Tribolium castaneum: one gene and its partner. The protein of the gene in region 1 purifies or fractionates together with the protein of each later gene. This does not show direct contact. Links are inferred from orthologs where the notes say so. Each region holds a gene or a part of one and is shown in the gene's direction. Other genes may lie near its edges.

Region 1 (3,800 bases):
TACTATTTTTGTGATAATTTTCACAGTGATGCTAATAGGCATAGATTAATAACAATGAAATAATCACTGATAGTCTCACAATATTTTGAACTGTCTAGTTTAACCTTTTTTTTAATTGATATTTGAGAAATGCAAATCGCAAACTACCCAAGTCAATGAATGTATTTTATTTTGTTAAATATTACAATATCCATGTTAGAATATTTTATTAACTAACTTTCATAATGTTGTTAATTTAATAACTAAATGTAAATTATTAATATATTCTACTTATTTAATAGTTGTTTTTATTACTATTTCCCGTATTAAGACTACAGAGGACTATAACTTAGAGGACAAAATGAGATACAAAACCGCCTGATTTTCTGAACCCAGAAAAATAGTACGGTAGAGTAAAAATGTAAAACTGACGGCGTATCGAGCATTACAACGTCTCGGCGCCAAATCATTTTAAATTAATTTAAATTTGACCATTGCACTAATTACTTGAAAAAAATGCAGAAATGTTGAGCCTTGCACTGACTGAGAAAGACTGACGACTAAAATTTACATAATAAACATAAGACAAAAATTATTGAAAATGTGCTGTTGGTCCCGTATTTTTCAAGACGATGCGAATACAGTTGAAGAAGTAAGAAAAATGTTCAAAAGAAATTTGTAGAGAACTAAATTTCCTTTAACAGTCCGCGAGATCATATGTCTATCGTCAATGGTTTAGGCCCCAAAGACGCTGAAGCAACGAATTCGTCTTATTTTACCAGTGGTCAAGTTACGGAAAGTTAATTTATACCTAAACCGTAGAAGATATATATCTAATAAATATGTGACGGTGCAAAAAGGATTTTCGCTTAGAATTATCAATTTGCGTTCCACCTTATAATTTTACGTTTGCTGCGAATACGATTACAGAAACAAAAAAAGTGTAAGAAACTATAAAAAAATTAAATTTTCTATAAAAAAGTCCACAACACCATAATTCTATCTTCAACAGTTTAGGTATAAATAAACTTTCCAATACTTGACCACCGACAAAATGAAGCAAATTTTGGGGCCTAAATAGTTGGACACAGGCATATGGTCTCGCGGACTTTTTTGTAGAAAATTTAATTCTCTACAACTTCCTTCCTAACATTTTTTGTATCTGTAACCGTATTTGCAGCCTTTTGAAATAAATGAGGCAGAGTGCAAATTGGCAAAAGTTAATTTATTTTTTTTACGAATGGTTTACGATAAAAGTTTTGCATTTTGGTTGTCTTACTATTAAGATTTAATGCTCCATCTACCTGTAATTTTTGTTTGCTACGCGAAAAATTATAGGTGTTATTTTAATCAGGGACGTTGTGGCTGTAGGTTTTTCCCCGATCAGTTTCAAACCTTCAAAATGTTGGCGCCTTATGGAAGTGTCACAAGTTCCAACCCATCCAAACTATCCCTAAGGTTACCACCTCCTTTGTGGATTTTTCCAAGTGAAACAAATCATTAGGGACACTAATACACAACTCCCAACTTTGTGAAATAACATTATTTCAAGTACATTTTAATTACAAAACGTAAGTATATCTTTTAAACATTAAGTTAGAAATATATTTAATTTTTTACTAGAAAATACTGATATTTTAAATTTGTTGCTATATTACGTTAATTACGAATTGATATAAAATTTGGTGATAATTTATATATCATTTGCATCTGCTTATTCTATTTTATTTTCAAAAATTTGTATTAATTTAAAGCACAAAGACATTTTGTCTTGTCATCATTCCCTAACCTCACTTTACTGTCTAGAACAAAACATTGCAAAAATGCCTGCTGGAGGTGCATTATTCGGCAGTGCCGCTACGGGCCCCGGTTCAACTGGCGGTAACAAACACTTGGTTGAAGTACGGGCGGGCAAAATGAGTTTGAAAGGTAATTATCAAAACTCTTCAGTAAGCTCCCATAATCAAATTTTTGTTAGGTCGCATGGTGTACCCTGACAAACGCAAGGGTCTTCTCTACGTGTACCAAAGCGAGGACTCTTTGATGCACTTCTGTTGGCAAGATCGCACCAGCGGTATTGTTGAGGACGACCTCATAATCTTCCCTGATGATTGCGAATACATTAAAGTGCCCCAGTGCACCACTGGAAGAGTCTATTTGTTGAAATTTAAATCATCCAATCGCAAATTTTTCTTCTGGTTGCAAGTAGGGCGCCCCTTTTCTTAATTAATTAAATCACCAATTAAACCATAGGAGCCCCGCACTGATAAAGACGAAGACAACTGCAAGCGCATAAACGAGTTGTTGAACAACCCCTCAAGCGCGGTCCAGTCGTCGCAGTCCCCGGATCAGGACTTGCAGTCTCTGTTTAATAACATGTCGCAATCCCAACTCATGCAATTATTTGGAGGCGGCGTGGGCCAGATGGGGGGGCTGTCGAGTCTCTTGGGGACCATCAGGTAACGTATTTATAATTACGCTCAAACGCATAGTAAAAACTATGACACTTAGGGGCCCCAACAGCGGAAGTGCTCGTACTAACACTACCCCCGCTATAACTCACCGTACCACAGTCCCAAGCACCCCAACCACCAACACCACCACCACAGCCGTCAGCCAATCGCCGGCCACTCCGCAGACAACTACAGCCCCCACGACAGCCCCGGGCGCCCCCCGAGCCAACCGGTCGTCGGACTCACCATGCGGGCATAAAATTCAGTTATCAGACTTGCAGAATTTCCTGCAGGGGATTTCCCCAATTCAAGCTTCGTCTCAACAATCTGGTAATCAAAACAATTTTGAAGAAAAAGTGTAATAAAATATTTTTAGTTGATTTATCAACTGCTTTGACTGCTGAAGGACTGTCCGGGATTTTAAACAATCCGGGGGCTATTCAGGCCCTGCAAAATCATTTGCCGGCCGTTGAGGGTGACCCCCAAGACGCCTTGCGAGCAACATTGAATTCGCCCCAGTTCCAACAAGTGATAAACAAAAATTAATAAAATTTTGTTCTAATTATTTTTTCTAGGCCGTTTCCCAGTTTTCTAGTGCTTTAGAGTCGGGACAGTTGGGGCCGGTTGTGTCTCAATTGGCGGTTAATCCGGAGGCGGTGGCAGCGGCGGCGCAAGGAAACATGCAAGACTTTATGAAAGCCTTGGAAAAAACTGAAGGAAACTCGTCAAAGGAAGAGGATAAGGAGAAGAAAGGCGAGAAAAAAGAAGATAAGGATGATGATCACATGCAAACTGATTAACTAAATGTATTAAACTGAGTTTATTGAATAAAATTTAAAATGAGATTAGTTTTCGTCGGTTTGGAATTTTTTCAAGTCGGCGCAAAAAAGGACCTAAAAATTTGACTGCATTTTTTCACATAACTATTGACCACTTACTTACAGTGTGTGCCCAACCTGCCAGAGGGCCGTACAGCTCCCGAAAGTGGTCCCCAATGTCTTTATAAATCGTCGCTGTGACTTTTTTACGTTTCGGTAAATGTGGCATATAAAATTTTCTCGCAATTTGGTAAACATGCGTGTCGATAGGTATTGTCCCCAAGTGCCCCAAAGACATCAAGCAAATGCAGTCCGCCACCTTAGGGCCAATCCCAGTTAAAGTCATTAATTTACTCTTTGATTCCTCATAGGGCAGTTTTTTCAAATCGTCAAGCCATTTTTCGCCACCTTCCTGCATTATTATTTTCGCTGATTGATTTATGTACTTAGCCCTGTATCCAAACCCCTCCTTTTTTAAAACCGACTCGACCTTATCATCGGCTAAAGAATCAATTTTGGGGAATGAATAATACGTTTGATCTTCAAGCTC
Region 2 (3,160 bases), about 5.6 Mb from region 1:
CTTCTCTTTTTAATTCTTTGATTTATCAACAGCCGATTATTTTGCTGTCGTTGCGGTTTTTGGCGACATTTTGTTTTAATGTGTTTTAAAGACTTCAGAAAACGATTTAACGTGATTTTTTGGATGTTTTTGTGATCAAACATCTCTACTTTTATATGGATCTTTTATTTGAATCTAGTGTATAGTGTGAATGACAGTGTTTTAATGAAGGATGAATCAACTTAAGGCAAATTAAGGTAAACGTTATTGAAAGGTGTCTATACAACAATTAATTGCGATTTCTAGATATTAATATAATCATATTACACCAAGAAGGATCACACAAACTTAGGAGATGAAGACCGTCCTTGGAGATGATAACGGTTCTTGGGATGTAATTGAAAATCCCATGAAGACGAGTTAAATATCATGTGCAGTAATTAATAGGTATATCATAATAATAAATAAATTTATTGTAGTTGCGAAGCTAGTATTTTGTGAAAGCAGGGAGTTTAGGACTTGCTATGGTTCAAGGTTTTCAAATTCGCCATGTCCCTCTATGTCTTAATCTTTTATGTTGTTTTACACAATGTTATAACGCCTATGCCTGTTAAAAAAACAAGGTTTGTCCTTTTTGTGATTGCTTAATTTAGAAACTAAGCGAAAAAACGTATTCTACAAGTATCATACAAGTTAATCAATATTAAAGCCTACTATTATTATAAATTTAAATGATTACATGGTAGTTTTAATCAGTTAACTTCCAGTGATAGTTATGTATATCAGATATGTGGGTTTTTATTTAAAATAATTTTAGCACACTTGTAATTCTCTTGTGTTTGAGTAATTTACTAATAACTATGATGCAATCGAGATTACTTTTAAAAAATTTCAAAACTTATCAAGAACTTTGACATCAAACTGTTAAAGTACGTGTTAGGGCCGCTTTTACAAACGTCCGTAAACCTTATAACCGCGAATAAATTTCGAAAAATAGTTGTTTAAATTTAGCCTTAAGGGACTTAAAAATTGGACTATTGTCAAAGGTTACAAGCAAAATTTTGATATTTTTTTGCTTTTCTGAACAGTCTGTAGACAAGTAATCAAACCAACAAAACTGATGTATTTATACAGACTGATCCCGAAATACTGTGTCTGTTAGCAATCTGAATTTAAATTTTAAAGGATACCAATAGTGTACACTTTCAGGTAGCAATTCAATAATTTAATCTGATGCCAACATACTCAGTTTCTCTGGATCATTGTGTATATTTAGACAATGTATTTACATATATTATTACATCTGAGTATGTTTATGAACAACAATTCGAGTTAAATTAATTTTGCCTATACATTCCAGCACGTTATTATTTTTTTAATAAATTTTTATTGGAAAGACTTTGTTTCATTTTATTAAGCGATGTTAAATGTTTTTGTGCTATTGCAACTGTTACAGATGCTTTTTTATTAAAATGTCTCGTAACAGTGCATGAGTACAGAAACATTTAACATTTATAATTCTTTAAATTTGGAAAATAAATAAAATGTCCTGTTTGAATTTCCCGCTATTATCGAATTAGTTTGTTCTCCCCAGGTTAGGTGGCGCTTTCGCGAAAAAACGAGGGGTAGACAGAGAGATTCGCTTCTTCCTCTCTCTTATTCTATGGGCGACACTGTTATTGTCAATCAAAAATTCTCTTGTTACCGCTTTTTACTTGTGAATTAATTTTCCCGTAAAATGCCACCTGTAACAAGTGATTACGGCATGAATGCTGAAAGTGACTGGATGAACGCTGCCCACAGCACTGGTGTAAGTTTTTCCCCGAAAAATTCGGTGAGGTTAGGTCCCCATGACTTGTTGTTTTAGACCTCTATTATGGCAGCGGAATTCAATGGGGGCGTAATTATTGGGGCCGATTCTCGAACCACTACGGGGTAACACACTCAATATATCACTATATAAAAAATAACCCCCACTAATTGTAGAGCATACATCGCAAATCGTGTCACAGACAAACTGACTAAAGTAACCGACCATATTTACTGCTGCCGCTCTGGCTCCGCGGCCGATACCCAGGCTATTGCGGACATTGTGGCCTACCATCTAAGTTTTCATGGGTAGAGATAATTTTAGCTAATTTTTTTATAAAAATTTTGGTTTGTAGAATGGAGTTAGGGGAAGAGCCTTTGGTGGAGACAGGGGCTGCGGTTTTTCGCGAGTTGTGTTACAACTATCGTGATTCCCTAATGGCCGGTATTCTGGTTGCGGGTTGGGATAAACGTAAAGGGGGGCAAGTGTACTCAATCCCCATTGGAGGCATGTGTGTGAGACAGCAGGTCTCCATTGGGGGTTCAGGCTCTAGTTACGTGTACGGGTACGTTGACGCCAACTATAAACCGAACATGTCGAAGGAAGAGTGTGTTAAATTCATTACAAACAGTAGGTTATTTTTTCGTGAGAAATTTTTTCTAACTCAGTTTTTACAGCTTTGGCACTCGCAATGTCACGCGATGGTTCTTCGGGTGGTGTGGTTAGATTAGGAATTATTACAGAGGAGGGAATCGAGCGCAGAGTGGTCTTGGGCGACCAACTGCCAAAATTCTTTGAGGGTTAAATTGTATTTTTTTCTTTATAATAAACACATTTTCACCTTTACAATATTTTATTGGCTTAAAATATTGAATTAAACCACAAGCTTCAATATAAAAACTTATAATACACATGGTATTTAATCATAAAACGTTTGAGGTTTGTTTAATCTTCTTCAGGTTCAGATTCATTATCATTCTCATTGTAAACTTGTCCCTCATCTCCGTCTTCTTCATCGTCGTCGTCGCCCGCAACTTCAGTGTTTTCCAATTCGGCTCTTTCCATTTGTCTTTGCAGCTCAGCTTCATCGGTAGCTGTCACAACTTTAGGCTAAAAATTTACGTAAAAAGCAGGTCCTAAACAAGGAAATTAAATCACTTACAGCCATCTGAACGTTAAAAACGCCACCTAATTCAGAAATTGTGGCTTTTATTTTCTCAATTGCATCGTTTAGTATTTTCAGCCCGTCTTGTTTTTCAGGCGTAGAAGTCGTCATTACTAAAATTACACGGATAAATAATTAATTCTAGTTGGAAATGAGTTTTTTACCGTAGAGAGGAGGAGCAATGAGATTGATTTTAATTGGCAATT

Evidence for each region.
Region 2: the proteins of proteasomal ubiquitin receptor ADRM1 (region 1) and Prosbeta1 fractionate together in Homo sapiens (co-fractionation; 3 studies listed by BioGRID, with this or other methods). This does not show direct contact. The link is inferred for Tribolium castaneum from reciprocal best matches to the Homo sapiens genes ADRM1 and PSMB6.

Annotation. Positions count from the first base shown.
Region 1 is NC_087396.1:16,648,263-16,652,062, reverse strand, and holds proteasomal ubiquitin receptor ADRM1, read left to right. Parts: upstream 1-1,392; 5' UTR 1,393-1,550; intron 1,551-1,785; 5' UTR 1,786-1,802; coding exon 1,803-1,908; intron 1,909-1,957; coding exon 1,958-2,184; intron 2,185-2,232; coding exon 2,233-2,438; intron 2,439-2,490; coding exon 2,491-2,762; intron 2,763-2,808; coding exon 2,809-2,960; intron 2,961-3,007; coding exon 3,008-3,232; 3' UTR 3,233-3,266; downstream 3,267-3,800. Other genes in the region: Ogg1 (N-glycosylase/DNA lyase), read right to left, coding at 3,267-3,325, 3,371-3,800. UniProt on the Homo sapiens protein: Component of the 26S proteasome, a multiprotein complex involved in the ATP-dependent degradation of ubiquitinated proteins.
Region 2 is NC_087396.1:11,001,569-11,004,728, reverse strand, and holds Prosbeta1 (proteasome subunit beta type-6), read left to right. Parts: upstream 1-1,624; 5' UTR 1,625-1,717; coding exon 1,718-1,789; intron 1,790-1,846; coding exon 1,847-1,914; intron 1,915-1,965; coding exon 1,966-2,097; intron 2,098-2,144; coding exon 2,145-2,419; intron 2,420-2,466; coding exon 2,467-2,594; 3' UTR 2,595-2,638; downstream 2,639-3,160. Other genes in the region: eIF2alpha (eukaryotic translation initiation factor 2 subunit 1), read right to left, coding at 2,735-2,899, 2,952-3,067, 3,119-3,160. UniProt on the Homo sapiens protein: Component of the 20S core proteasome complex involved in the proteolytic degradation of most intracellular proteins. This complex plays numerous essential roles within the cell by associating with different regulatory particles.